6 linked regions of the Canis lupus familiaris genome follow. The protein of the gene in region 5 purifies or fractionates together with the protein of the main gene of each other region. This does not show direct contact. Links are inferred from orthologs where the notes say so. Each region holds a gene or a part of one and is shown on either strand. Other genes may lie near its edges.

Region 1 (4,811 bases), on a different chromosome or scaffold from region 5:
TCTTTCTGGGGTCTTTCAATACCTGGGTCAGCGCAGTCTGTTCACACCTGCCCAAGATCCTCAAAATACCCCAACGGACACTCCTGCTGTGACATGACCCTGCTGCCACACTTACAGGGACAAGCACTGGGGGCTGAGTCTGACTGCTTGCTTGTGACTCACCCTGCCCCCTGGCATCTCACACAGGCTCCACTTCCTGTCCCCTGTACCACTCCTTTGTCCCCAACAGCAGGGCTGCTCTAGGAAGCGAGGCATGCACAACATTGAACAGGATGATCCGTACTTCTGCTGGCTTTCTACCCAAACCACAGCAACACCTAGAAGCCTATCACTTTAAAGAACCCTACCTTTCTCTCCCAGTCTCACTTTAAGTGGGAAACCCGAATTAACATTCTGGGACCGAGTGGTCTTACTGGGGATGAGCCTCTGTGGCAGCCTAGCTATTCCCTCCCACTATTTGGATGTCGGCACTGCCACTGTATCAGGGTGGGCACTTCCAGAGCTGCTCCGTCTACCCTTCTCAGCATCATGCCTGACAGCGGCATGTATGCCTCCATCATCACAGCTAGCTCCTCACTTCCTCCTGCTGGGTCCAAGGCTGACACAGGGTGAGCCCAGATCTAGCACCACGATTGTGCCAGGAACACAGTGCTGGGGACGGATTTCAGACTTTTTTACCAGACGTTGTGGAAGGAAACAGATTGGGGTGGAGAAGTAAGTAAGGGGTCAATCTGCCTGCAGTTTCAATAAATTTTAAGTGGGAACCTGTTCACTGAGAAGCTTAATGGTTAATATCGGGATGTACTGGCACAGGGCTCAGAAAGGATGTGTTCATAAATCCAGCAAATCAATCTCCATTTTCACCATTAGCACTATCTCCAGATGGTGAGAAGTGCTCACAGATGTGTCTCACAGCATCCCTGCCCCACAGCCCGCACACCACCCTGGCGCCTCTGAACGCACGTAGGAGGCCTTCTGTGCCAAGCAGGTCGAGTCCCGCTCTCCTCACCTCCACTCTTGAGGAGGTAGCGGTTGACGTCCTGTATGGTGGTATTAATGGTGGGCCCAGTGGGGACGCTTCCAGGAGTGACGTCGGGGTCGTTCTCGGGATCAATATTCTGAAGTCCTTTCCATGGAACTCCAGGATGGAATTCTGGAAAATTCCAAACAAAATGGAAATCAAAACATGAGTAATACAATATCTTCACACTCCTTCATGATAATTCATGGAAATTCTTATAATCTGCTAGTTAGAATAGAAGACACATCCTTCACTTTCTTTCAGTAAATCACCCACCCTTTGGAACAAGCTAGAAGTAGGGATTATAGTGGCCACATTAAGAGAGTGTTCAGATGGTGTGGAGTCTAGAAACAGTCTGGCCAGATGAGATACAGCATCCATTCTCCTTCCACTCCCCTCACTGAACTGAGGGACTACAGAAAAACGCTGGGTGCTAACCACTTCCCAAATCTGTGTGACAAACAGATTTCTAGGGGAAAAGCCAAAGCTATGGGGTTCGTGTTTCTAGGACTCTTAGTTCAGATCCTGGCTTCTCTGGAGCAGAGTTGCTCTCCTCAGGCTTGGGGCAGCTCTGATCTGCTGCTGCACAGAAGCGTTGCACACTCTTACCTGGGGGCCAGTTGATGCTGGAGCCATTGGAGATTTTATCACTGTCAGATTTGGCACGTGACCAGCTATGGGGAACAGCTACAGGAGGACTGGCTGGTGACTCACTGTTCTGGATTAAATCGTACCGGCCATAGGAGTCGTCGATGGAGGACTTAGCTGGAGGCCCAATGCTTAGACCTCCAGGGATAGCACCTGTGGGGACAGTGGGAAACAAAGAGCTGAGTGAACATGGGAGCTCCTGACCCTCACTACTAGGCACTGGGCCCCGCCCCTTTCAGAGGTACATGAACCATCAGACTTGGTTTGTCCAGCACTCTCTAAAGATAAGTAACCATTTTGGTTAGCCCAAACTTCATCTGTGAAAGACTGAAATTGTTTTACTTATTTTTAAAAAATATTTTATTTATTTGAGAGAGAGAGCGCGAGTGAGCGAGAGAGTGCAAGAGTAGTGGGGAGGGGCAGAGGGAGAGGGAGAAGCAGACTTCCGGCTGAGCAGGGAGCCTGATGTAGGGCTCCATCTCAGGACCCGGGGATCTTGACCTGAGCCAAAGGCAGACGCCTAACCGAGCCACTGAGGCCCCCCTCTTTTTATTTTTTTAAGATTTTAAGTGATCTCAACCCCAACATGGGCCTCAAACTCACAAACTGAGACCAAGAGTCGCATGCTCCACCCACTGAGCCATCCAGGCACTCCAAGACCAAACAAAATTCCTTAAGAACCATTTTAGTTTCTCAAGTTGGAAACCTTGATAAAACACAAACCCATACCATTGAAAGCAGGCCTGTGCCATTCTGGGCCAGCTTATGAGTCTCTGTAGTTAGCTATGGACTTTGCAGTTGTGTGTGTCCTGCCCTCCCTCTGTAAGGACACACTGGGTGTGTGAACACAGAGCCCTTATCTTCTGGACTGGACCGCCCTGCCAGAGGCGATTATGCTCTCCTGCCAAGGCCAGGAAGGTGCCCCGGTAGCGTGTGAGGATTTTCTTGTAGAATTAACGGTTATTAATTTTTGTTTTTCCTTTTAGAATATTTATATCAAGAAAGAATCATATGTCTATTACATTTTCCCTATTTATGCTATCAGGAAACTGGGAGCTAAAGTTAATGCTTAATAGTGAGGTCACCTCCTCTAGTTATCAGCACTTTTGCTTCTTTTTTTTAAGCATTTGATTTTCTATTGTGTTTCATCATTTTATTGAAAAATTTTTTTCTCAGTAGACAAATTTTTTATTGAAGAACACAGGTATCAATAACAAATATGCAGACTATGACCAATGTTCTTTGTTGCCCTGGGGTATTTTCAACTCCGGCTGGGTTTATAGCAAAGACCTGAAGATTGAGGTTTCAGAAAGTTTGACCACAGCCCAGATTACACACTCTGTGATCGAATTCTTAGACAAGAGACTCAGTGGGAGTGATAGAATGAGTATGCTCTACACCTGGAGAGTCAGCAGTTGGAACAGGCATGGCTGGGCCACAGGCACCCCAGCTTAGACATACCATGCTTGCTGGGGTTCTGATCGAGGGGAGAAGCAGCACCGGGTAAGTTGTCCATCGGGTTGGGGTGTGTCCACTGAGGGAGACGTGACTGGGACTGGGACGGGTCCTTCACCGACAAACCACCAGTCATGTCCATGCTGTTGACATTCATGTTTGGGTTCAGTCCAGCTAAAAATAGAAATGCTGTTAGCATATGCCTACTCTTCCTCTAGATTTTATTGCATTCTAAAGCTCTCCTGGAGAATCAATCCAAGTCTTAACTCATGGCCACATACTTCACTCTAACTTTTAATGCTGGTAGAAAGAAAAACTTTTGTCTTTTAAACAACATGTTAAGTTTCCAGGAACATTATTCCTGAATTAAGGTGAAATGGAAATGAACATTCTCTGATTAAGTAAGACCAACAACTCTCCATTTCACACGTTTCAGAGTTAAACATGGTCCCAGTGCTCCTCAGTACCCACAGAAAGACAGTGCAAGTCCAGACAATTTGGAAAATCTTTTTTGATCTTAGGATATCTTAGGGAAACTCACCAGATCAATATAACTCTTTCAGAGTTCTGACAGTGTTCTAAAGTAGCACCTCCAGAACAATCTAGTAGCAATAACGCAATTCCACTTTGAGTGAACTTACTTTACTAAAAGTCTGCTCTTCAGGACTTTAAATATCAAACTCATTTTAAGGACTTGACCTATTGGAGAGCATCGGGGACTGCTGCCTGCCCCCAGCTGGAGTGCATGCCAACCCTGGGTTTTCTTTCTCACAGCTAAAGAACCTGCTGCTGTATCTGGCAACACCGTGCCAGGTTACTAAGGAGAGGGAGGAGGATGATAAAGAGTCCCTGATGGGGCCACCAGTTACGAGCTGGACTGAATGCTCAGCTGGTGGAGAATACTTGGCAGGTGCGCACCCTAGGATCCACAGACTGTACATCTTGGTACATGAGTCAAAGTTAATCTGTACTCCTAAGCAAAGTATCAATCAGGTTTGTTCTTGGCTTTAAATCCGTGATGGCCAAGTCAAATGCATACAGGGGCCCAGTGGCTATGAAGTGGGCCTGGTGGGGATAGTGGCAAATACACACACAACTCTGCAGATGAAACAAAATGTCTGTGCATGTTAGATGCTGCCTGGGGCTGCCTGTGTGGGGTTCACACGGATGGCAATCTTTACTTCCATTTGTACAGATCCAGTCAGGTGAGTGGACAACAAGGCTGGGCTCTGGCCTGGCCTTTAAAATGCTTGGCCTGAACCTATCTCCCCAACTTGCATGCTCATATGTGGACCCCCACCCACAACTTAGCACGACCACCCTGGACACTCCCTTTCCTCTGTTCCAGGCTCTTGTCACTAAAGTCCAGCTCATCTGGGATCCAAGCTTAGCTCCTGCACTGGGTTCTTCCTTCACCACTTAAGGTGAACACAAGCTTTCCCTTCTCTGCAGCACTGCCTATGAAGGTTTTCATTATTCTATGCCTGATCTTCCCGTGTGGATGACAAATCCCAGCAGTCAAGAGACAGCAGAGCAAGGAGACTCTGTGTAACCTCTACACTCAATGTGGGGCTTGAGCTCACAACCCCGAGAGCAAGAGTCACATGCTCTACTGACTGAGACAGCCAGGTGTCTTGCTACTTATTTTTAATACATTTATAAGTCTAATGTGAATATTATAAAATAT
Region 2 (4,811 bases), on a different chromosome or scaffold from region 5:
AAGATATTTGAATCTAATAGCAAATTACCAAACAAGATTCAAAGAGTAAATATAAAATACAAGGATCCATTGGAAAACTTAGTCTTCCTATGTCCCTGTCCTACCCTCACCCCAGAAAATAAAAGCATTGATACCTGGTATGTAGGGATCATCACGAGTGTCTTGCCAGTCAACCTCATCCTCAGAGCTATCACTGTCTTCGTAAGGATGCACTTTTCGATAATTTTCAAAGGAAATGGAAACTTAAAAGGCAAAAACAAATGAAGATTTATTTAGGAACACATTACAAGTATTTCCTGCCACCCAATGGAGGTTTCACAATAAGGTCACAGTACCTTTGCTATCTCCATTGAATTTTTTTTCTTCACGCCTAAGCTGTGCGTCATATTCTCTGTCAAATTCCATCTGTAGCATCTGAGCCAGCATTAGGTCACTAGAAGTGTCAATGTTTTCTCCGGTAATAAATGGTCCTTCAGAGGCACTGTTCAAAATAAGGCAACATAAATTAATATAATGTGCTTGCATATATACATGCTACCAATTATGGGACTAGAGAGTGCCTTTTCACTGTTACAAATTGTACTGAAGAAAAAAGGGAAAAATTCGATCAAATCATTCATCTTCTGTCCAGCTGCCCTTTGACTAATGCCAGGAGTTTGTAAAAGCACCAAATAGGATTAAGAGAGCTACACAAAAATGCTAAAAGGGCCATAATAGAGATGCCTGGGTGGTTCAGTGATTGAGCATCTGCCTTCAGCTCAGGGCATGATCCCGGAGTCCTGGGATCAAGTCCCACACTGGGCTCCCTAAAGGGAGCCTGCTTCTCCCTCTGCCTATGTCTTTGCCTCTCTCTCTGTTTCTCTCTTGAATAAATAAATAAAATCTTAAAAAAAATAAAAATAAATAAAAGGGCCATAATAAATCCAAACTGAAACTCAAAAATCTTCTTCTGTGTTCTGGAAATATAACACATATATGAGAAGATAAAACAGCAATATTTAATCAAACCTGTATCCTACTTCACTATTTGCTAATTTGGAGATCATGTGGTTCAACTGTTGCAATAACTAAAATCCAGAGAAACACAGTGGTTTGCCCATGATAGTACCGACAACTAATCACAGAATCAGGACCAAAACTCAAATATCAGTGAACTCCTGGTATGATGCTCTTTCTACTGCATTGATTTTCAAAATGTGTTTCTTAATCATTGGTCAAGACAACCACTAATCAAATCTTAAAACTTTCATAACAAGCTGCTGGACAAAATAGATTCTTTATGAATTTTACTTACGTAACTTCAGGAAAAGCAGCAGCTTCTTCTTTCAACTGCAATTCTTTAGCCAGCTGTTCACTCATTACATCAGCCAAGGAACAAGATATTGTGTTTTGAGGGGTAGCCCATGGACACTATTTAAAGAAAAGGAGGGGTTAATTCATAAAAATGAAAGTACCTTCTAAACTTGAAAATAAAGCTATCTTTAGAGAATTAAAAAAATCAACCCAAAATAATTACCTACTTACAGAAATCATCTTCAAAGTCATTGGGATGCCTAGTATCTGTCAGTTAAGTGTCTGACTCTTGATTTCGGCTCAAGTTGTCATCTTAGGGTCACGGGATTGAGCCCTGCATCAGGCTCCATGCTCAGCGAGGAGTCTGCCTGAGATATCTCTCCCTCTCCTTCTGCCCCCTACCCCCGGCTCAGACGGGTGTTCTTGTGCTCTCTCTCTCTCTCTCTCTCAATTAAAGTAAATCTTAAAAAAAAAAAAAAAAAAAAAGGTAAAAATATCTCCCAGCTCAAATCTAATCAAAGATAAATGGAAATTAAATCTGTCAAAGCACTTTCTAACCTGTTCAGTAGGTGTGTCTTTTTAGTTGAGGAGGAACATCAGGCCATTATAGCATTACCCCACTATCTGATGAGTACATGCAACCACCCTTGTTCTGATTGCATGCTCACCAAATAATCTTCTGCTTTTAATCTGGCTTCCCATGAAGACTCTCTCTCTCTCTCTCTTTTTCCAAAGGTTTTATTTTTAAATAATCTCTATACCCAACATGGGGCTGGAATTCACTACCCAGAGACCAAGAGTCGCATGCTCTACGGACTGAGCCAGCCAGATGCCCCTGTAGATTCTCTTTTAGGAAAAGACTACACCAACTAGTACAGTTCAAAGCCCACTTAGAAGTTACACCTCATTCTAATTTAAGGAGTAAGTCTTCTACATGTGTAAAGTGTATGTCAGCTGCTCTCAAGACATCTGGGGATACGTTGAAACAAAAATAACAATGACAAACAGTAAAATCTACATTTCTGAACTTTAGAAGCTAAGAAACAGTCTTGAAATAATACTACTACAACAAAGCAATATTCTGTGAGGCTCTTCTTGGACGATCAGCCAGTTGGACTTCCTCAATGGCATAACTATCTCAGCCCTCTTGAAATACAAACCGTAAGTTTATTTCACAATTCCTAATTTTTGAGGGGGCAAGCTTTCCTTAGCAGCAGGAAATGATTACACTTGTGAGTAAGACCACTAATATTGAATAATATGTCTAAATCTCTTGAACTGACCTAGCTTTCTCTATCTTCCTTCTGAGATTCTACTCCAAGGTATCACCCTCCCATTACCAGGCTACTCTATTAAGAGAGTCCTAACTCATCTTTCTGCTTCCAGTCCTGCTTGTTTCCATTTTCCACACCATATATAGCACACCAGCTTTTCTAAAATGCAGATTTGATTAGTTCAGTTTCCCTATTTAAAGCTCTTTGTTTTCATGTTTCCTACTACCTTTAGGATAAAGTCCAAACCCATTCCTTAACTACTGCTGGTGTCTAATTTAGAATTTAGAATATAGCATATGATATCTGTTTTAGCCACAAAACTTTTTAAAATTTTTTTATTTATTTGAGATAGAGTGAATAGGAGCTGGGGGTGGGGGGCAGAGGGAGAGGGAGAAATAGACTCCCTGCCGAGCAGACAGCCCGATAAGGGTCTTGATCCCAGGACCCAGGATCGTGATCTGAGCCGAAGGCAGATGCTTAACTGGCTGAGCCACCCAGACACCCTGTTTTAGCCATGGAACTTTTAAATCAAGTTTAGGTACTCTAGCTGGCCTACCACTCTTGTTCAGGTTCTATAGCATTGAAGTTCAGGAATTTAATTGGTTCAGGTTGTTAGGATGAAGCTCAAATGATAACTATACTTATGACTAAGTGAATCAGAATCAAGTTTTATCTAACCTCATCTGGAGATTAATGAGATGCACCCAGCCCCCAGAACATACCTATACTAGTCTACTGCAGAATTATTCCAGCCTCACATAAAGCCAGATGTGGGGAATACAAGGAAGGCTTTCTCAAGGTCTGATGTGACTTTCATTCACTCAGATCTTCAGGTGCAAATGAGCAGTCTCCTGGTGAGGATTTTGAGGTCTAGAATCTTGACGTTCTCTGTAATCCAGAGAATACAGCTTTCTCTTGGCCAATGACTCCTGCTGACTTCTGAATCCTCTAGAAAGAATACATAATGCTGCGTCCTAACCTAGAAATGTCTGGTCTGATCAGTTTCAAAGTCCAGAATCCAAAAGGCAAATGGCTGTATTCTCTAACTCAGATCTGTCAACCACATTTTGCAATGACAACAGAGTAACAGACAAGACTGGAATATTCACTATATTTGAGTCATTTGCCTAATATGTATAATTTGCATAGATTATTTGAGACACATAACCACTATGTAGTTATCAATATCTCTATCTATCATCCCCATTTTATAGATTGAGAAACTGAGACACAGAAGGGTTTTTTTTTTTTTTTAACTCAAAATAACACTGTAGATGGAAGTGTTACGATTTGAACCAAGGCAGTAGAACTTAAGAGGCTGCCCTCAGCATTTTGCTATACTGCTTCCCTAATCACCTAGTTCTGGAATGTGAGAAACAAATCACTATACTGCCTGCAGTATGAAATCCAAATTCCTCAACAAGGATTGTCTTTCAAAATTTGACCCACTTTATCTTTCTAGTCTCAGCCCTTATGTACCCTATGCGTAAATAACAATAATTATATGCTAATTATGGCATACTTTCACCCCTCCATGCCTTCATACATTTTTTTAAAAGATTTTATTTATTCATAGAGACAGAGAGAGAGAGAGGCAGAGACACAGGCAGAGGGAGAAGCAGGCATCATACAGAGAGCCTGATGTGGGACTCGATCTAGGGTCCCCAGGATCATGCCCTGGGCTGCAGGCAGAGCTAAACCACTGTGCCACCGGGGCTGCCCTTCATATATTTCAACTAAAACATATCACAAAAGTCTTCTATTAAATCAGACATTAGGGATGCCTGGAAGGCTCAGTTGGTTAAGTATCTGCCTTTGGCTCAGGTCATGATCCTGAGGTCCTAGGTTGGAACCCCTAGTCAGGCTCCCTCTCCCTCTGCCCCTCCCTCCACTCATGCTCTTTGCTTGCTTGCTCTCTCTCTCTCAAAAAAATAAAATCTCAAAAAAAAAAAATCAGACATTAAAGAGATTTGCAAAAATACAATACTAAACCACTATTTTTGTTTGTTTTTTTTTTTAGAAAATGGGGGGGTTACAAATGAAAATTATATTTGTATTAACATATGATGACTTTGAAATCACCTAATAAAAAATTCTTCACTATTTCACTTTTCTTTCTGATATGACAAATATTAAAAGATGTAACTGATATAAACAAAAATTCTTTGGTGTCCTCAATGATATTTTAGAGTATAAATTCATCCTGACCAAAAAGTTTTGAGAATCGCTGGCCTTTGGCACTCT
Region 3 (4,811 bases), on a different chromosome or scaffold from region 5:
CGATCCTGGAGACCCGGGATCGAATCCCACATCGGGCTCCCGGTGCATGGAGCCTGCTTCTCCCTCTGCCTATGTCTCTGCCTCTCTCTCTCTCTCTGTGTGACTATCATAAATAAAATAAAATAAAAAATTGCTTTTAGTCTATCTGATAAGAAAGATGTATACTCAACTGTCTAAAGCAAAAATCACTCTTAAAAAAAAAAAGGTGAAATCAACAGATACATATTTCTAAAAGCTATTTCTAATCAGAGTAATCTGTATTTTCTTTTTTTTTTTAATTTTTATTTATTTATGATAGTCACAGAGAGAGAGAGAGAGAGAGAGAGAGAGAGAGAGGCAGAGACACAGGCAGAGGGAGAAGCAGGCTCCATGCACCGGGAGCCCGATGTGGGATTCGATCCCGGGTCTCCAGGATCGCGACCTGGGCCAAAGGCAGGCGCCAAACCGCTGTGCCACCCAGGGATCCCTAATCTGTATTTTCTAACAAGGAAGTTGCAAGCTGTCATTTATTCTAATTAAATTATTTTTAACAGAAAGCTTTACCAGTTATGGTAGAAGAAAGGAAGGATCTAATCTCAAGTCTGCTGATAATACCTAGTCATGTAACTCTAAGCAAGACTTTTGTCCTCAAGAGCTTTCACTTTCTTCATCTATAAAAGGAGTTAAAACTACGCCATTAACAAAGGTCTTTCCAGATTTAAACACCATTCTATGTGCTCATTGGAAATTAACCTTTTTGAACAGGATGGGATTAAAGGACAATATATGAGGCTCCCTGTACTTCTATTCGTATGTCCCAGGAATACATGAATTTTGCAGTTGTTACTTTATTACCAAACTAAGAATCATCTACAAGAGCACAATAATCTATTTTTCATTTATTTTTAAAAATTCTTTTATCTATGAAGAATCTTTCATCTTGTCATATGACGAGATTACATTTGAAATTTCATAAAGCAGTAAGAATGGGCATATGTAGTAAAATTTTTATGACACTTAAAAACAATTTTCAAATGTTTTAACTAATTGTGACAATTAAAATGAATACAAAAAACTATGACTATCAGAGGATGGTACACATGAATGCCTCCAGAATCCACTGAGAATATTTAATACTACGAGTATTCTTTCTCCAGTGAAGCATGTTTCAAGTAAACCTTACAAAAAAGAATTAAGTTCCTAGAAGTAATTTCAGAAGAACACACCCCATCTAGTCTCCTTGCCAAAAAGAATCAACTGGGAGAATGAGATCTGGCAAGAGAAAATCACTGGAGAAATAATTTAAAAAGCCAAAATCCAAAACTCAGGAGGCCCACAAAATAAGCAAACAAAAAACAATAAATGTGAAACTATTAAATAAATCTAAGCAACTATATAAGCCCTTTGTTCTTAGGTCACTCATACTGTCAAAAGCCATAATATATACCAAGTTATTTTTTTTTTTAAGATTTTATTTATTCATTCATGAGAGACACAGAAAGAGAGAGGCAGAGACATAGGCAAAGGAAGAAGCTCCGTGCAGGGAGCCAGATGTGGAACTCAATCCTGGGACTCCAGGATCATGCCCTGAGCTGAAGGAAGGCAGACGCTTAACCGCTGAGCCCAGGCGTCCCCAAGTTATTATCAATTGTTTATATAAAAATAACACTTAGAGACTTATCTTTTATATGATAGCAAATAATTCCCTGAGTTCTCAATAATTTATTTAGAACACTTTTTTTTTAAGTGTTGGCTTTGAAGTCAGATTGTGTGGGTTCAAACTTTTGGTTCTCTCTGTTACTAGCTACATGCTCACAGACATGATATTTAACCTTTTATGTCTCAATTTCCTCATCTTAAATAGATATAATAACTATCTATCTTACAGGGTTATGAAAATTGTGATAAAATATGTAGTCTTTAACAAAGCTTTAGACATTAATGTTCCATAAACGTTAGTTTTGTCTGCTGAACACTACAGTTCGTGGAAATTTCAAAAGTCAATTCTCAAAAATCCCAAATAACTCATATTCCCAGCATACAATACTGAAATCAGCTAACACTTCTATCCTCAAAAAAACTCTCATTTTCCAAAATGTTACCTATTTAACATACTAAATGGTACTTAAATACCAGATTTTGTTACTATCATAAAACAATTTTCTATTTTATTAAAAAATCAGTATGAAAAAAAAATCAGTATGTATTATGTACAATCTCAGTTCTAAGTATTTTTTACACACATTACCTACTCTAAAGTCAAAGTGTGTTTATTAATTCTAAAGTAAATCATTTAAGTTTTTTTACTAAATCTGTAAATAAGCACTGCTATTAACACAGTAATATTTTAAGAACTACTGGGAATTGTGTACAACATAATCCACTATATTTTTGTTTTTTATTTTTATTTTATTTTTTTTTAAGATTTTATTTATTCATGAGAATACACAGAGAGGAGAGAGAGAGAGGCAGAGACACAGGCAGAGGGAGAAGCAGGCTCCATGCAGGGAGCCTGACATGGGACTCGATCCTCGGTCTCCAGGATTCCAGGATTACGCCCTGGGCTGAAGGCGGCGCTAAAACGCTGAGCCACCCGGGCTGCCCTATTTTTGTTTTTTAAAGATTTTATTCATTTATGAGAAAGAGAGAGAGAGAGAGAGAGAGGCGCAGAGACACAGGCAGAGGGAAGAGCAGGCTCCATGCAAGGAGCCCAATGTGGGACTCGATCCCAGGACTCCAGGATCACGCCCTGGGCCGAAGGCAGGCGCCAAACCGCTGAGCCATCCAGGGATCCCCATTTTTGTTTGTTTTTATGTAGGCTCCATACTGAGCATGGAGCTCAATACAGGGCTTGAACTCATGACCCTGAGACCAAGACCTGAGCTGAAAGCAAGAGTTGGACACTTAACTGACTGAATAATCCAGATGCCCTTATTCCCCTACGACTTTTACCTTACCGATTTTTTTGGAATGGTCGAGGCATATTCACAGCAGCAGCATTTGTTTTATAAGATCCTGGTGCATTAAAGCCATTCACAAAACTACCATTGGGAAAGGGAGCCTAAAAGAAAATGCAATGTTTAAAAGCAATTTTTAAAAAAGGGTAAAACCTAGTGTAAAGGTTTAATAAACTCCTGATGAACTAACCTAGGATCAAATTTTTAAGATTTTTTATTTTTAAGTAATCTCTACACCCAACATGAAGTTTGAATTCACAACCCTGAGATCAAGAGTCACATGCTCCACCAACTAAAGCCAACAAGGCTCCCCCTCAGTTTCTTTTACAATGCAAAAATAATCTTAAGCATTTTACTTACTCACTTTTGTAACAGTCACTTGTTCAAGTATCACTTGATTTACAGAAAAAGGAATCATTAAGTCATTACTTAATAAATGTACTTTATTTTTATTTATTTTAAATAAATTATTAAATATAATAAAGTATTTTATTGTACTTTATTTTAACATTTCTCTCTGAAAAAGTTTAAAGCATTTTAAAACTAATCAGGATTTATCCAATCTCTTATTTTAATTTATTCAGCAAAATCTAAAGAATAAAATAGGAACCAAATAGCTCAACTCTTAGTCACATGGGAATTAGATATCCTTGATATCCTTATCTCTACCTTAAAAACCAGAAAGAAATCAGTATCAACACAAAACACAATAATAAAAAGTGATTACTCTAGCTGATTTCTTAAAATTTCAGCTTGAATGAAAAATTTTATAATTCTCTAAGGATCTCACTTACCAGTGGTGTTTCAAAGTAAGGTGCAGGATTTGGTGACCAAGACTGAGGCACAATACTATAGACCGAGTATTGTTGGTGAGGATTATATACAGGCTGCATAAAAACTGGTGAGGCATACTGTGCTTGAGTTTGAATGGGCTGACTATACATGCTAGAATCCATTAATCGATAACCATTCTTAGCAAAAAATGTATTGATGGCTTTTATCCTTGCCTAGAAGCAAGAAGAACACATTATAATGAAGAACTCAGTGTATATTTTCACAAGTATATTTAATTTACATTTTAAACATATTTAACCAACCATATTATTTTTGCCTACTTATAGAGTCAGTGGAGCAAAAGGAAAGGATAGCTTTAAGCTATTTAAAAAACTTTTGCATGGCAAGTACAACAATGAACAACGTAAAACTACAAAAGTCAAGATAGTCAAAAGAACTGCAACTTATGACAAAGGGGCTAATATTCATAGTATACAAATTCTAAAAACAGAGATAAAAAATGTATTAGAGAAATGAACAGAGTTCACAGAGAAAAGGAAGGCAAATGACTCTTAAACATATGAAAAGATGCTAAATCTTGCTTGTAGGAGAAATGCAATTAAAATGGAATTAACAGGGATGCCTGGGTGGCTCAATGGTTGAGCGTCTGCCTTCAGCTCAGGGCATAATCCCAGCGTCCGGAATTGAGTTCCACATCAGGCTCCATGCGGGGAGTCTGCTTCTCCCTCTGCCTATGTCTCTGCCTCTCTATGTCTCTCATGAATAAATACAATCTTAAAAAAAGTGGAATTAACATTTCTTGCTTATAGGACTGGCAAAAATACAAAAATTTGACAACTACTCTGTTGATAAGGTTGTGGGAAAATAGGCACTCTAAATATACTGATGATGGAAAAAAAATATACTGATGATGGGAATATAAAATAGCATAATTCTTATAAACAAAAATTTAGCAATATCTTCCAAAACCATATATGTATTTACCATATCTCATTAATCTCACTTCTAAGAATTTTTTTCCAAATATACATTGAACTAAAAAGTTTAAAAAAATGCACACAGCTGTTCACTAATACTAAT
Region 4 (5,517 bases), on a different chromosome or scaffold from region 5:
GTCCGTCCATGGTAACTGCTAAGATTATAGTCTTCTCCTTCACTTAGCCCGCTGGACAAAGGCAAGAGGCAGGAAGATATTTTTGTGCAGAAGCTCAAGAGACAGGAAGACGGTGACAGGGTGTCTTAGGAAATGGCCCAAGCAGGTATCTCTGCAGTGAACACCACAGCTGACAAGTCCCAACTGACATTTGAACAGATGGGAAAATATCATCAGATAGTACAGAAAAGCCCTGAAACGAAAGCCAAAAATCCCAAACATAAAGTAGCCTGAAGCAAACTGTGACTTCAAAGAAAGAAAACCCCCCCAAACTTAGGAACGTCCTCAGAGATAAGGGGAGGTACAACAACAAGCTACGAACCAAAACCAAACCAGGATGTGAGAAGGCTGGAACAGAGGGGGCAGGAGGACAGTCTCAGGGACATGCATGGAGCACAGCTCAACAATACGGCCCACATAAAGTTGAGAACGCCTTCCAGAAAGTGGACAACCCAAGCAAAATCAGTGTCCATCCAGAAGGCCCAACAGTTGAATTCCACAAAAAGAAGGTGAATGGGAAGAGATCAAAGCAATAAATTAAAAATGTCTAGTGTTGAAGAACGGGACTTTCCACGTAAGAGGGGCCTAAAAAGTAGGCAGGACACTACATGGAAACAGACTCCGAGGGACATCACTGCGCTGCGTGTTGTGCATTTCAGGGAGGAAAATCCTTTAAGCTTCAGAACAGAAATATCCACGTATAGAGGCCGAAAAATCAAAATGTCAGAAGCCTTCAACAATAACCCTCAAGACAGAAGTCAGAGCAAAATGGTGTCTCTCACCCAGACACACGGGGAGAAACAGCATTTTCGACATTCTTGTTCTCGAAACTTTATCTCCCCTTCATCTGCCCCCGGGCAACGCCTTAAGGAAGCGTTCCACCACAATGAGGGTAGCCAAGTCCAGAGAAAGGGACACTGGTGTGTCCTGGAAACCAAGGACCCTATGAAGGGGTCGGGGTTGGGGACCTGCAAGAAGAATACAGCAGGTGGGAGCCTGGAGGATGTATATCCAAGAAGAGATTAATAAAATACTGAATTTCATCAGACAAAAAAAAGGACTGTTTCTTGAAAGCTGATTTAGACAACTGGTCAATTTGGGACCGTAATGATAAATACACAGAAAAAGCAAACAAAAAACAAGACTCATAAGAACACCAGGAGAAACAAAATCTGATGACGTGGAAAAGGTAAAGTAATCGCAGCACACCATCTGCCTAGCTGTGAATGGCCCCATGGAGTCAGAACATGAACACTCAAACCTGGACTAAGCAAGGTAAAGGTGCACGGGCTTCAGGCGGCCGTGTGTGCACGCAGGGAAGGTAAAAGGAAGCTACAGACATCACATTCCTTCTCAGGGTTAAGTGAGGAGACAAGGCGTGCAACAAGAGGAAAGCCATGAACCAGCAGGCGAGCGCATGTGCCGCTCAGAGTTGGAGGCAGAGACCAAAGGAGCCCACCAAGAGGGGGACGTGTCTGCTCTGCAGGAGAATTGACAGGACTGGGGAAGGCAATTCAGGGTCTCCTTGAAAGCCTTCCTACATTTAGTATTCCTTTAAAAAACTACTTGAAGATACAACCTTGATTTGAAATAAAATTAGGTCTTAATTTTAAAATCCACATGAATGCCAATAAAATGTATTAAGGAAGAGCACACATGGTCAATGTACTGTTATGAAATTAATTGCAGCCATCAAGATGACACGTCTGGAACAACACGCCTGGCTCGTCTCTAGCAGTACTTAAGGAACATTAGCATGCCTGGTCAAACAGCCCACTAGGGATTGTCACTTGTAAAATGTCTGATTTTAGAAACACACACACACACACAAAAAGAACTTAGGCACAAAATAACTCGTGTACTCAATTTCTAAAAGGTCATAGAGATGAAGACCGTTTGATTTTCTTGGTCTTCAAATGTCGAACCTTGTGGTGCTTTTATAACTAAAAGGAAAAGGCACTGTGACACGCTGATGCTCTCTGGGTTTCCACTTGGTCAAAAGCTTTTCAATATGCGAGGAGCTGGACCTCTTGCCAGCAGCTTGGCAACTAAACTCAGTTGTGCGCTGTTTCTTCCAGGAGCTTAGTTATTTCTTCCTAATGAGAAAGGGCAAAGCTTCCTCTGAGCGCGGGCCCTGGGGGGGGGGGGAGGTGGGGGGTGGATGTAGGCTCAATGGACCGCACCCAACAGAAGCACCCTTCGGGACTCCGAGGAGTGTGTTCTCTGCTCACACCACCCTGGCAAATGCGCAAGTTTTGTTTGGGAAGCATGAGTGCAGAACCTATGGCATCGAGTCGCGAGTCACGCGGGTAAGTCACCCAGGGGGACGCTGCAATCCCGGGAGAGCCTGCCCTAACCGGGCCGTCCTGGAGGACAGAGAGGGCGCGAAGGCCTGCAGGACGGGAGCGGCGGGACAGTCAGGGCCGGGCCAGCCGCTCGACCTCCCGCCCGTCGCGTCCCCTTGGCAGAAGCTCGTCTTCCCGATCACAACCCCCGGTTCTGGCGAGACTCCTGCTCCGAATCCAGTCCGAGAACCGAGAACCACGCCGGGTGGAACCGCAGCGCCGCCTCCTTCCTATCTCCGTACCTGGGGCCGTGTGTGCGCTGCTGCCCTCAAAACACTGCAGCCCGCGCATCCCCGCGGGCGAATCCCCCGTGCCAGGCCACGAGCTGCTTCGGGAAGAGAAAAACCAGCGCGCGTCCTCTGCCCTCTGCGCCCCGGGGCCGAGCGCGGCCGCAGGCTTCCCCGCCAGGTCGGGGCGGCCGGGGTCGCGGGGCTCGGGGTCCAGCGGGGGCCAAGGACGCGGGCGCACAAGGGCGAGGGGCCGCGCTCCCGGCCACGACCTGCGGGTGCGAGCGCGCCGAGGTCCCGGGGCGGGGAAGGGGCGCCCGGGCGGCGCACCCCGGGCCCGCCCCGCCCCCCCCCCCCCCCCCCCCGGCCCAGGCCGGAGCCCGAGTCCCCGGGGACGGCCGCCGCGCTCTCCGGTTCGCGCACAGGCCCCGGCCCACGTGACCCGCGGCGGCCAATGGGGCCGAAGCCCCCGCACCAGCGAGACGCGGGCGGCCCGGGGCTAGAGCGGCCCGCCCGGCCGCCCGCCGCAGCCCCCGGCCCCGCTCCGGCGCTGCCCGCTCGGCGCTGCCGCCATCTTCCCGGAGGAGAGCGCGGAGGCGGAGGCGGAGGCTCCCGGCCGCGGCCGCGCCGCACCCCGGCCGCCCGTCTTCCCCTCGGCGGCCCCCCGGCTCGCGCTAAGCAAACGCCCTCCCTCCCACGCCGCGCACCCGCGAGGCAAGGACCCGCGCTACCTGTTCCGCTCTGGTCGGCGCCAGGAAGCCGAGCTCATAAGGTGGGCGCCGTGGCGGAGCAGGGACGAGCCGCCATCTTGGTAAAGGAGAAGAGGCTCCGCTTGACCTCCCCCCGCCCCCAGCCTCTATATGGCCAACCGCCGTGGGAGGGGCGCGGCGCCTGCGCAGAGGCGGCCAGCGCGGACGGGCCTGCGCTCTCGGACGCGGCGGGCGGGGGCGGGGGCGGGGAGGAGGCCGGGTCGCGCCGGGGCAGGGAGCGCGGGCGAGGGGGCGGGCCGACGTGGTGACGCCACGCGCGCGGGGCGGGGCGGGCCGACGTGATGACGCCACGCGCGCGGGGCGGGGTGGGCGGCGGGCTCTGGGCGGTCCGCGGCGCGGTCGGTGGGCGCCTGCTTCTCCGCTCGTCTGGTCGGCGGTGAGTGGCTCGCCGGGGCCCCGCCGTCGCGGGGTGGGGGGGTGCGGGCTGTAGGCGGGCGCGGCGGAGGCCGGCGGGCGGAGGGCGGCGGGCGGAGGGCGGCGGGCGGAGGGGGCGCGGGCGGCGGCCCGCTGGGTGTGGGGGAGGGGCGCAGGCCCGGGCTCTCCTCTGCCCCCGGGTCCGTGCTCCGCCCCGGGGCCCCTCCTCCGCCTCGGGGGCTCTCCTGCGCCTCGGGGTCCCTCCTCCGCCCCGGGGCCCCTCCTCCGCCCCGAGGGCTCTCCTGCGCCTCGGGCCCCTCCTCCGCCCCGGGGGTCCCTGGTCCGCCCGGGATCCTGGTTCGCTGCAGGCCCCTCCTCCGCCCCGGAGGTCTCTCCTCCGTCCGGGGTCCTCGTCCTCCCGCGGGCCCCTCCTCCGCCCCGGGGGTCCTCCTCCGCCCCGGGGGTCCTCCTCCGCCCCGGGGGCCCTCCTCCACCCCGGGGGCCCCTCCTCCCCGGGATCCTGGTCCGTCCCTGCCCCTGCCCCTCCCCCTCCTCCGCCCCGGGGTCCTCGTCGCTCGCGGCGGGACGTGGCCGGAAGAACCCGGCGCGGCAGGCCTGGGCGGCGGGGGAGGGGAACCGGGCGGGGCCTGCGGGGTCCGGCGAGTGCTCCGGCGCGGGGTCTCGTCCCGGTTGCGGCCTCGCCCCGCGCGCCCCGCCCCGCGCTGCTCTGGGGCTGGGGTCCGGCCCTGCCCTGGGCGCACCGGGCACGTGCCCCGCGCCGGGACGAGCTGCTCCGACGCGGCCGTGCGGGGTCCCCGGGAGGTGCGGCTGCGGCCCGGGCGGGCCGTGTGTGTCCGCTCCCCGCAGGCCGCCTGTCGCTCCCGGGGCCCGGCTCGGCCCGGACGCTGGCCGGGAGCACTCGGCCGCCCAGGGGATCCTCATGCTTTTCCCCTTTTGCATCCTGACCTGCCCCCTGGCACTGCAGCCCGGGTGACGACCGGGGCTGCCGGGTCAGGTCAGATGTGCACGGACTGCTTTGGAGCTGGCAGGGCGACCCAGGGAAGCGGGGGGCGCGGCTGCCCTCGTCCTCGCTCATGAGTGCGCTTCAGGCTCCTTTCTAGACCGACTCCGAAGGCGTAAGCTAAGAGAAGGGCGCACCAGAACCTGCTGCAGCATTGGGCCGAAGGCCTTTTACCTTCTGTGTTTACACCACGTCGTGCTGGTGGTCACACGTGTCGGTGTCTGTGACGCGCTGCCCCGGTAGCCGCTGAGCTCACGCTGTGTAGGAGTCGTGCCTCCCTCAGATCCAGAGAATCTGAAGGTCGAGTGTCTCAAGAGCTTTGGATTAGGGATAACGGACTCTCGGGGTCCTCTTCAGCGTCGCTGTGTGGGTTGGGGCCGTGTGTGTAAATGCAGGAATAACACGACCGTGATGGGTAGTTAGGGCAATCCGCTGGTAGAAATACCACTAGCGAAATACATTTACACGTATTGCCAAGAATCTAGTTTTATCCATCTGTTTTTCATCTTTTGTTTTGGAAAAGTTGCCTTGTTCTGTGTGAATTGGGATGGGAGTGTTGCCCTGTGGAAGAAGGAAGCCATGCTCAGGAAAAGACAGACGTCTAAATTGCCAGCGTCTAGAATGAGCACAACCTGAAATGAAAGAATGAAGTTTTTGTTTGACCACATTGAGTGTGGGGGATCCAAATGGTCTGCAGTCATGGTGTAAATCACAGAGCTTGGCATCCCGTGTTGCAGGCTTTCTTAGTGAAAACCAGGTGC
Region 5 (5,431 bases):
GTCTTGGAAAGCTGTTACCTTGCTCTTCCTGGATCTCCACTGCTAGCCGCATGGTTAGCAGGTATTCAGAAAGCTCAAATCCCAGCAGTGACAGATCAGGAAATCACAACATTACCAGGACTCAGAGAGTACAGCCAGGTGTTCAGCCTTAACTGTAGCCCACACTCACCCAGATCTTGATGCTGGGGCCCGTGGCAGCACATAGCCAGTATCGGTTAGGACTGAAGCATAGGGCATTGATGATGTCTCCACCATCAAGTGTATAAAGGTGCTTGCCTTCATTGAGATCCCACAGCATGGCTTGGCCATCCTGGGAAGACAGGAAAGGTGAGTCAGGGCAATATGAAACCCATTGCAGTTGTTAATCTTAACTGCCTCAAAAATTTTTTTTATTACTTAACAGTCCCCCTTCCCCCGCAAACTTCCCAAAAACTAATGAATGATTCAAATACCAATATTTATCTCTGAATGCCTTTCCTTTAATGCAGGGCACCTCACCAACCCTACGATGTCTCTGACAACTTCTAAATAAATCAGTTCTGAAAAGAACAATCAGTTCTGAAAAGAACAGTTTCAAGAAACCAGCTTTACTGAAAACAATCTTTTTCTTTAAAACAGTATGCCTTATCTATGTCATTTCCAGGAAGCAATCTTAAGATATTTATTCTTGGTTGCTACCTCAATATCTTAAATATCTTTTTAAAACAGTCCCTCACTGAGTAGTAAACTCCCAGTTTCTGAATACCTTCCCTCCAGAAGCACAGAGAGATCCATCCGGAGAGACGGTCACGGTGTTCAAGTAGCCCGTGTGGCCGATGTGATTGGTCTTCAGCTTGCAGTTTGCCAGGTTCCATACCTAGGTTTGGTAAGGTGGAGGGTAAAAGGTGAAGAATCTGGCTCTGAACCAACTGGGGTCAGGACTGCTCAGGACAAAAAAGGCACGATTTACTTAATTTAAAAGCATTCCAGGACAGGGTGACCATTTTTCATTCTATCAGTAACAAAAATGTTAAAAAGAATTTGTCTTGGTCACCTAAGGGACAATCAAGATTAAAAAAGGTAACAAATGTTCTATGTGTTGCTTTATGAGGGACACTGGGCTTCATGAGCTACTTCAGACCAAATATCAAAAACCACTGGCCTGTACTTAGAAGAGTGCAACAGGAAAAGTGAACCGAGGGACAAAGCTTTCAAACTTAGATCCTATGACCACCTGAGAGGCAGTGGGAGAACATTCTGGCTGGTGAAGGCCCTATACCCTGGCTCCAAGCTCACCTTGACCAACTTGTCCCAACCACAGGAGACAATGATGGGATTGCTGCTATTAGGTGAAAATCGGACACAAGACACCCACTCTGAATGGCTCTCGTCCTGCAGAGGATGGAAAAGAAATTAGAGAAAGTATCCTGTCTCCATGAAACCAGAACCTCACCTTCCCTCAGTTACATGGAAGTGTTCACAACCCTAGAACCCAAACCATTAATATCAAGAGCTCCCTTTATAGAGTCCAGGCCAGGCTTAAAATCACCTTAAAGCCAAGGTTAAGAAGGGTGGGAGAGAAGTTTCTACATGTGCCTTCAGTTACCTGTACGGTGTACTTGCATACACCCAGGGTATTCCATAGCTTGATAGTTTTATCTCGCGACCCAGAAACAATTTGCCGGTTGTCGGAGGAGAAGGCCACACTCAGCACATCCTTGGTATGTCCTACAAATCTGCGTGTGGTGGTACCCCTGAGGAGGAGGACGTGGTCAGTCTCTAGATGCCTCAAACACTCTTCCACATCAGAATGTTTCCCTGGTCTGTTCCTGTCTCACTGGAGCTGCCATTACTCACATGACCCTGGACATAGGTCTGATCACAACAGGCCCATGGTTGAGCATATATGAGAGTATCCCTTCAGAATTGCAGGACATGTCCTCACTCCCACGTAGGGATTGGCTGACAATGTCATCTGTCATCACTGGGATGCTCATTATGCCCGGCCATCCAAGTACTGAGCTCCCAAGATAAAACATGTTCAACACTTGCCTACTCCCAACCACAGTATGTGGTAAAACTCAACCAGCCCACTCCTCTAACAATTCTGCATAACTAATTAAACCAGCAAGGATAGAAGCCAAACAATCCCAACTACCTTTTCTAGGTACTTTCTTGCCTTAAGTACCCACAATGAACCTCAATCTCCCTTGGAAACCACCGCCCAACAGCATCTACCTCATTTTTGCCTAGCCTTTGCCCAGTGTCCCAGAGTTAAATGAGCAGCTACTTGCGTTGTGAGATCCCAGAGACGAAGGGTTCCATCCCAGGAGCCTGAGAGGGCAAACTGGCCATCTGAGGAGATGACCACGTCACTAACAAAGTGGGAATGACCCCGAAGAGCACGCTGTGGGATGCCATAGTTAGTCTCATCCCTAGTCAGCTTCCACATGATGATCGTCTTATCTAAGGAGAGGTAAAAAAGAAAACTCAGTGAGTTAACAGCCCACTTGCTGACCTACTGGATAATCCAGGATCCCTCAGTGTCATCGGTGGACTTAAAAGGTAACAAATTAAGGACTCTCAAGGGGGAAGAACTACAGGGTGTGAGCTGTTACTAGTCAAGGCCAAGGTGATTGGCTATTCAAAAAAGATTCAAGTAGAACTAAGCAATGCCATGAAAATTAAACTCTGGTGTGCAGAACTTTAGCATATTATGGATGCCCCTTTCTGACAGATCAATTCAATTCTTGGAGTCTGATCTGAGGTCTAAAGCATAAACACTGCTGCTTGGCTGTGGGATTCCTACAATCACTAATGGCTGCATTCGGAAAAATTGCTTTACATCCTACCTGACTGGATGCTTTCACTGAAACGTGTTAGTAACAACAAGTTTTCCAATTACTCTCCAAACATGATCCTGGCCTCAGACTATTTTTTAATAGTGTGGGGGCCAGCAAAAGGCACAAGAAGCCTCCGAATGCTGCCAGGTTCAGTGAATGAAAAGAAACGAGGGGAGTTCTTGCAGTCTATCCACTAAGCACGGGCCGGGCGTAAGCTCAGAAACAGCCTCTGGTTCTCAGCACAGGTACTCAGATGGCATGTTGGCATCATCACCGCTCCGCCCGACCCCGTATCTCCTGAGCACACTCAGCTACACACCTACACACATCTGCGAGAAGATGGGCAAGAAATAAAACCCCAACCCTGCAATCCTCCTGGCGACCACGAGCTGACCTAGGTCTCCGTCTCTGCCAAGCGGGGATGGTTCGCGGGTTTATCCAAGCGGAGGCCGTGGCCCGGGTCCGCATGCCCCAACTCACACCCGGACGGAGTATTCCAAGTCGCCAAGCGACACGCGCAACCCACTTATCCCTCAATCCTTTGCCCCGCACCTTAGCCCGTACCTCGAGAAGCAGACAGTATCATGTCTGGGAATTGGGGAGTGGTGGCGATCTGAGTCACCCAGCCATTATGGCCCTTGAGGGTGCCACGAAGTGTCATCTGCTCAGTCATAGCGGCGGCGAGAGCGAGTGTCGCCGCGGCGACAAGGATGGAGATGGATAGTTCAGAAGGACTAGCAGCACAGCCGCTCCCGACAAGGCCCTCCAGAGGAAAAGAAGGAAAAGGTCCCCGCCGGAACCGGAAATACCCTCCCGTTCGAGCAAAAATGGCGGCCCCCGTTATTCACTCCTGCCTAAGATGGCGGCGCCTCGTAAGTCAAAAGGCGAGATGAAATGGCAAAACTTTATGGTCGCCTCCGCCATGCAACATAATTTGGCAGTGCCATGCCAAGTCATTCTGAAACCAACTCCACCAGGTGTTTAAAAAGGCCCCTCAAACATCCACTGAGGCGTGATGTATAAGAAGACGAAGAGGGGACGGGCACAGACAGCATGTTCCCATAAGGAACGTCCGGCGCCTTCCCTGCCCCCACGTGGCACAGCGCGAGCCCTGCCTTTTCCGCTTGGTGGTCTGGAGGGCCAGGCTGAGGGAGCTCAATTTCGAGGTGAGAACTGCCAGTAACGGTAAGGAATATGAAAAATATGGTATTCAGTTTTTGAAATACACTGTACTTAGGTGAACCAGTAAACTCTGACTGATTTCCTTCGCAGAGGGCAACTCCTCCCTGGAGAGGTTTTTGCTTTGAGGGAATTGGCTGAGGCACTCCCTGTCCGGAAGGACCTAGTCCAGGCAGAAGTAAACACAGGAACAGGTTACGGAGCGGAAAACCGGGGAGGAACGAACAATCGGCCCGTGGGCTGCATGTCCGTCCCCGGCTCCCACCTGGGCAGGAGCGCGGAGAGCCGACGCAGAGACAGAGACCCCGAGAGCAAAGGCCTCCGGGTTCTGACTTACGGGTCTCGAGTGAAAGCGGGCTCTGAGCCTCACCGCCTCTCAGGCAGGTCTGCGGGTCTGGGGAGTCCAGACGTGCCCCTAAGGAGGTTCCACCTGCCTGGGACACCGTGGATCAGGGTTCCCAGGTTGCCTACCGGCCTCCTGTTTAGCCGCATGGTACGTGAATATGTAGTGCCTCCTTGATAACTGAGAGACGATGCTGGCAGGCAGCGCTCCTGTCACATATTTTTTGAAGGGGGAGAGGTACCAGGGTGGTACCATTCGCTATCATCTAAGCAAAATAAGGGGGGGGGGAATTATACATAATAAGTATTTATTTTCTGTTTGTAACATGTATTAATTTTAGTTTCATATCTGTGAAATGAGGTTGGAAATAATAGTACCCACCCAAAATGGTGTTGAAAAGAGTAAATGAGTTATGGTAGGTAAAGGGCCCAGAACAATGCTTGGCAGAATAAATGCAGGCAAACTTAGCACCTCTTGGGTACCAGGCCCTGTTTTAGGTCTTGAGGGATACAGCTGTGAGCAAGAGGGGGGTGAGGACCAGGTTTTTTTGGAGTTTACATTTGATGGAGTGAGGGGGAAGGAAATTGGAGCAAAGAGACGAAGAAGGAGACAGCCCTGTGGATACACGGGAGGATAAGGTTCTGGGGGCAGGGATGCTCAGTGCAAAACATCCTGGAGGTGTTGGAAGTGCTGAAAACCGAACAGTGAGATAGGCGTGAGGGGCAGCTGACAGAGGGCCCGCAGTCTGGGGGAAAGAACATGGCTCCTCAGGGTGGTTGCTGTTCTGAGTAGGCTTCAAGGGCTCCAGTTGCGAAGGTCATTTAAATGCCTCCGTAGCACCCCCAATTAGCTGTCTTTTTCTTCTAACACTAAACTCGAAGTCGACCCCAACCCTGACCTGTTTTGGTAATGGGAGACCCTTACTTTCACCCACACCAGTATCCAGTTCACTGTTCATAGCTCGGGTCGTGCCAGTGCCCTGGGCGGTTGGGACAAATAGAGAGGTGAGAGATTTCCACGCTGTGGAAATGCACAGAGCAAACACTCCCCTGTGTTGGCCTGTACATGCAGAGGATTTCCTCTCAGT
Region 6 (4,811 bases), on a different chromosome or scaffold from region 5:
ATCCTTTCCCACAAAAACTTGTTCAGCTGCATTATTCATAACAGCAAAATAATGGAAACAACCCAAATATCCATCAATTGATGAAGAGATAAACAAATTGTAGTATATCCATACAATGGAGTATTACTCAGCCATAAACAGAAATGAAGTACTAACATATGCTACAAAGTGCGTGAGCTTCGAAAACATTATGCTAAAGGAAAGAAGCCAGACTCAAAAGGCCACATTTTGAATGATTCCAGTTATATGAAATGTCTCCATAGAGACAGAAAGTAGATTATTGGTTGTCAAGGGCTGGAGGCAGGGAGAATTAGGGAGCAACTACTTAACGGTTATGGCATTTCTCTCAGTTTGACAAAATGTCTTGGAATTATAGAGTGGTGACTGTGACACAATATTGTACATATATTAAAACCCACTAAATAGTACTTTCAAAGGGTTGAAATAATGAAGCTATATGAATTTTATCAGAAATACATAAACACAGAAAACATCACTTAACTGAAAATGACCTTACTATTTAGCTGTTAAGCCCTCCCATTATTAACTTGAAATAATGTCAGATATGTGTCAAATCTTTAAAAGTATGGTTCCAAATTTCTAGATCCCTACAATACATATATACAGATACCAATTCATCTTATGCTTACAACTGATATCAGAAGCCTAAGATGGCAATTAAGCTGTTTTCATGAGAATTATTATATGAGATGAGCCAGTCAATGTCTACTGGAACAATGTGAACAAATTACCTCCAAAACTCTACAAATAAGATAAAGAACCATCCCTATGAAATGACTTTTTAATCAGCATGTACAGCAGAAAATTTGCTAAACACGTGAATCATTTTTAAAGCCTTTAGAAATCAACAAGGAACTGCCAAAATGAAGCTAATGTCAAAAAGATATCTTTCATGTATCAAAATTGGAAATGTTTATCCTGTTTTAATAAAAAGACATTTGTGATTGATAATGACCCCAATCAACTTTCTACATTCTCATCTTTAATCACTGCAAGTTTAAGGGGACCAGCTAGACAACATTTTTATAGTTTACACCAATGGTACCATTTTGGAAGTTTTATAACCTGGAATTACGGAGATTTTCTTATCAGTGAAGGTCCATAGAGATGCTCTTTAGAAATACCTACATATTTTAAGATAAAAATCCAGTTTACCTTAAAATGCCTAGTTGAGCCGAGTCAATTCTAGGTTAAATACACTGTCCATTCTGACTCTCAGATATCAGTATTGCAGTGTATCAACTGCCCCAGGCTAAGAAAGCACCAGGATGATGCCAGGAGGAAGCATAGCACTAGGAATTCACCATTGGCTGAGATAGCCAACATCTATGGAAAGCTTAATTAACACATTTATAACTGACAAATGTAACTTAAGTAAAAAGATGAATCACTAGAAACCATTTGCCCAGATTAGATAGAACAAAAAGCTGCTTGAAGGAAGAGCCCCCTCAGGTCAGTCAGATGTTAAATATTCCAAAACAGCAATAAAAAACTCTAAGGGGCATGTTTCAACAATAATGACCATTCTATAAAGCCTGAAATACCACAATAAGAGTGGAAATTAAAATAAATTCCAGGAAAAGATTACCTTCAAAAGACTACTTAATTCTCTTCTCATCAAATCAATAAATACTAGTATTTTTCATAAGAATTTAATCCCAAAAGGAAAAGAAAGACATTTACCTCTTCTAAGCTAGGGAGCGAAGAAGAAGATACTGTTCGAGATGACAATGGGTGAAATGGCTCTTGACCAATAGCATGTTGATGATTCTGTATTTGTACAAAAGGGTTCTGCGGTGGCCTGTGAGGCAAGGGAGGTAGGCCATAGGGAAAACCTGGCCCCATTAGGTGATTCTGTTGTAAGTTAGCAAAAGTCCATGCTCCATCAGGTGCCAGGTATTTCAAGGGAGGAGGGGCAAGGTGTTCAGATGGCAACGAGAAAGGCGAGCTGAATATCTGGGGCGGTAGGCGCTGTGGAAATGCTGGGTTGTTGGCTACTTCAATGTCTCTGCTGTTGTCATTAAAGTTAGAAAAGTGGCTACTGTGGTCTGTGCTGGATGGGGGAGATGGGACTGCTGGTGGGCTCCTAGTCTGAATTTGTCTATATTGCAAAAGTCTTGATTGAGGTGGTGGCATTTCAGCTAGTTCCCGTGTTTCACTTTGATCACGATTAGATAGTTCTCTGATTAAGTCTTGAAACCTACATAAAGATGATGAAATATGAGGAAAAGAAAACAAAAGCTCTGTCATATCAAGGAGAGCTTTAGTCAACTACGTGTTAATTTTTACAGACAAAATCAGAATATTTCATTTTAGAACTAATATCAATTAATCCCAAAAGTGAGCATTAAAGGGTGCCTGGGAGGCTCAGTCGGTTGGGCATTCAACTCTTGGTTTCAGCTCAGGATCTCAGGGTTGGGAGATCAAGCTCTGAGTCAGGCTCCATACTCAGCAAGGAGTCTGCTTGTCCCTCTCCCTCTGCTTCTCCCCTCACTTGTGTGCATGGGCTCTCTCTCAAATAAAATTTAAATATCTTTAAAAAAAAAAAAAGTGAGCAGTAACACTCAATAAATGCTGAGTTGAAGATACTAAATATGCCCAAGTACCTGATTTCCTTCTTTTCCCTTGGCATTAAAAACAATTGTCCTTGTCTCTACATGTCTTTGATAAATGGCTGTTATAAAGTCACCATCAAGGTGGAATTTGTTCACAGGGATTAGGAAATACTTCATTCCATTCAAATGACACGGCTATAAAAACAAGTTTAGAATAAGGACTGAACACTCATGAACATCTGTAGTTAAAAGAAGATAGAATTCTGTGCAAATGGGGAAAATTGATGATAAATCTATAATTTTTAACTTTCAACCAATAATTTACTTCTGTGTCCATTCATTTCTTGTATTACTACTGAGTATGAAAGAAATGCTCACAGTGAGGGTATATTTCTTTTTCAGGAGAGCCACAAAGCAAGGGGACACATTAATTTTCAATCCACAACAGATTGTCCATGCCCAGATTTGCACCAGTTCCTTCTAAATGGGTTCTCTATATTTTAGAGTCAATCGATAGAACTGTGTAGCATGTGCCTGGAAGGCCAGCATCCAATTTCTTTGGGACAGTATTCCAGCTTGAGGCTAAAAGAACAACACTGAAGAAAGAAAACAGGGTGTGTGGGGAGGGGGAGGGAGTCATGTTTCAAGGTGATTTTTACCCTGCAGAAATACCTTGAGTCTGTTGTTTCTGCTTCATCTTCAGCACTGCTGGGGAGCTTCCAGTCTGCTCTCACTGGTGGCTGATGTAATCCGATGGGTGGCTGAGGAAGATGCTGGAGGTGAGGATGAGGATGGTGATGGTGTGGGTATGGAATACTGCCCTGACTGAGATAGGCGTGATGCTCATTCCACTGCTGTAACCGCACTTGCTGCTGTCTTAGTGTTTCTAGAGCTACACTCCCGTGCATACGATCTGCAAAATATCGGGGAAGAATTTAAGTTTTCATGCATTTGGGTTTCAGGTTAATTTGGGGTTTCAAGTAATCAAGTTTTTTCAACCAGATTTTCTTCACAGAGACAAAAGACATGCCTACAACTTGGGTTTTGGAGAAAGCAAATGTTTTCTAAATTTGCCAGTAACTAAAGTCATGGTAATGGTGATGATGATTCTTTCTTACCCATGTAATCCTGTAAGTTGGATCAACTAGATACTTAATATTATATAGTGTTTGGAACAAGATTCTGTTAGACAAAGCAACTGAATTCTGCTGCCATGATTTGAAGAAATGAATCAATCCTGACCCAAATTAATATTGCACAGTACATGTCAATTTAAGGAAATTTTCTCTGAATTCGTCACATCCAGCAGTGACAGGAGAACTTACCTAAAGCCTCCCCTATAGGCAATCCTGGGGGGTTCTCATCAGTGAAGTTATTCAGATGTGAAGGAAGGAGGGGGCCAGGCTGCGCAATGGCTCGCAGAGGACTGTGGCCTTCTTGCAGCATGGGAGGGGGCTGCTGCTCAGGAATCACAGGTTCTGCAGGAGGGGACTGTGGTCGGTGAGAAACTGCACTATTAAAGAAAGCACTGTTGGGTCCTGCCTGATAGGCAGGAGAAAGTTGAGGAGGTGGCTGCTGAGTCAGCTGGTTCAACGGATTCTGTGGTGGGACTACCTGATTCGGTTGGGGTGGCATCTGATTTGGTTGTTCAGGCAAATTATTCTGCTGCTGATTTAACAAGGCGTGCTGCTGCGGAATTGGAAACGGTGGTCTGGGTAGCTGTGGAAGGGGATGAAAATGACGATTGGGAATTGCATACTGTGCATGAGGAGCAGGGAGAGGAAGATTTATGTGTCTCGGGTTGAGATTATCTTTGCGATGAAATTTGGCATTGGGATAAACAACACCAGGACGCGACTCAGGACTTCTGTTCTGTGGATTTGATTCCAAATCAATCTAGAAAAAAATAAGAAGTCTTTCTTAACTATGGAAGATCTGGGTCCTGTGGCTATCTACCTTTTCCCACCCCTAGTAAATCTACAGGATAGGATACATTCTTATCCGTCACAGCTGAGGACTGGGTATCCACCCAATCACTTTTTGACAACCGAATGAGGGAATAAATATCTTTTAAATTAGAAAAGATGAAACAGAAAAAGGCATATTAAATTTGAGTCATAAGGAGAAATACTACCATCTTATTAACATATCCACTTTAATTCCTTTAAAAATATATTTTTAATTTCACAGTTTCTTCCTCGGAAAGATAACCTTTGCTTCCTTCTGATATAAATC

What was found.
Region 1: the proteins of RACK1 (region 5) and TNRC6C purify together in Homo sapiens (affinity purification with mass spectrometry; 3 studies listed by BioGRID and IntAct, counting the BioPlex papers as one, with this or other methods). This does not show direct contact. The link is inferred for Canis lupus familiaris from reciprocal best matches to the Homo sapiens genes RACK1 and TNRC6C.
Region 2: the proteins of RACK1 (region 5) and RIOK3 purify together in Homo sapiens (affinity purification with mass spectrometry; 3 studies listed by BioGRID and IntAct, counting the BioPlex papers as one, with this or other methods). This does not show direct contact. The link is inferred for Canis lupus familiaris from reciprocal best matches to the Homo sapiens genes RACK1 and RIOK3.
Region 3: the proteins of RACK1 (region 5) and LARP4 purify together in Homo sapiens (affinity purification with mass spectrometry; 3 studies listed by BioGRID and IntAct, counting the BioPlex papers as one, with this or other methods). This does not show direct contact. The link is inferred for Canis lupus familiaris from reciprocal best matches to the Homo sapiens genes RACK1 and LARP4.
Region 4: the proteins of RACK1 (region 5) and HDLBP purify together in Homo sapiens (affinity purification with mass spectrometry; 3 studies listed by BioGRID and IntAct, with this or other methods). This does not show direct contact. The link is inferred for Canis lupus familiaris from reciprocal best matches to the Homo sapiens genes RACK1 and HDLBP.
Region 6: the proteins of RACK1 (region 5) and HELZ purify together in Homo sapiens (affinity purification with mass spectrometry; 3 studies listed by BioGRID and IntAct, counting the BioPlex papers as one, with this or other methods). This does not show direct contact. The link is inferred for Canis lupus familiaris from reciprocal best matches to the Homo sapiens genes RACK1 and HELZ.

What each region holds. Positions count from the first base shown.
Region 1 is NC_049230.1:3,938,419-3,943,229, forward strand, and holds part of TNRC6C (trinucleotide repeat-containing gene 6C protein), read right to left. Parts: intron 3,299-4,811; coding exon 3,131-3,298; intron 1,823-3,130; coding exon 1,631-1,822; intron 1,154-1,630; coding exon 1,010-1,153; intron 1-1,009. UniProt on the Homo sapiens protein: Plays a role in RNA-mediated gene silencing by micro-RNAs (miRNAs). Required for miRNA-dependent translational repression of complementary mRNAs by argonaute family proteins.
Region 2 is NC_049228.1:64,905,703-64,910,513, forward strand, and holds part of RIOK3 (serine/threonine-protein kinase RIO3), read right to left. Parts: intron 3,516-4,811; exon of another isoform or gene 3,290-3,515; intron 1,712-3,289; exon of another isoform or gene 1,546-1,711; coding exon of another isoform or gene 1,525-1,545; intron 1,411-1,524; coding exon 1,295-1,410; intron 482-1,294; coding exon 336-481; intron 243-335; coding exon 135-242; intron 1-134.
Region 3 is NC_049248.1:42,378,709-42,383,519, reverse strand, and holds part of LARP4 (la-related protein 4), read right to left. Parts: intron 3,944-4,811; coding exon 3,731-3,943; intron 3,041-3,730; coding exon 2,937-3,040; intron 1-2,936. UniProt on the Homo sapiens protein: RNA binding protein that binds to the poly-A tract of mRNA molecules. Associates with the 40S ribosomal subunit and with polysomes. Plays a role in the regulation of mRNA translation.
Region 4 is NC_049246.1:51,351,373-51,356,889, forward strand, and holds the start of HDLBP (vigilin), read right to left. Parts: upstream 3,496-5,517; 5' UTR 3,381-3,495; coding exon 3,343-3,380; exon of another isoform or gene 3,239-3,342; intron 2,650-3,238; exon of another isoform or gene 2,627-2,649; intron 1-2,626. UniProt on the Homo sapiens protein: Appears to play a role in cell sterol metabolism. It may function to protect cells from over-accumulation of cholesterol.
Region 5 is NC_049232.1:610,817-616,247, forward strand, and holds the start of RACK1 (receptor of activated protein C kinase 1), read right to left. Parts: upstream 3,616-5,431; 5' UTR 3,496-3,615; coding exon 3,387-3,495; intron 3,103-3,386; exon of another isoform or gene 3,035-3,102; intron 2,446-3,034; coding exon 2,274-2,445; intron 1,972-2,273; exon of another isoform or gene 1,893-1,971; intron 1,734-1,892; coding exon 1,586-1,733; intron 1,372-1,585; coding exon 1,276-1,371; intron 857-1,275; coding exon 746-856; intron 311-745; coding exon 170-310; intron 1-169. UniProt on the Homo sapiens protein: Scaffolding protein involved in the recruitment, assembly and/or regulation of a variety of signaling molecules. Interacts with a wide variety of proteins and plays a role in many cellular processes.
Region 6 is NC_049230.1:13,536,478-13,541,288, forward strand, and holds part of HELZ (probable helicase with zinc finger domain), read right to left. Parts: intron 4,473-4,811; coding exon 3,902-4,472; intron 3,490-3,901; coding exon 3,249-3,489; intron 2,222-3,248; coding exon 1,705-2,221; intron 1-1,704. UniProt on the Homo sapiens protein: May act as a helicase that plays a role in RNA metabolism in multiple tissues and organs within the developing embryo.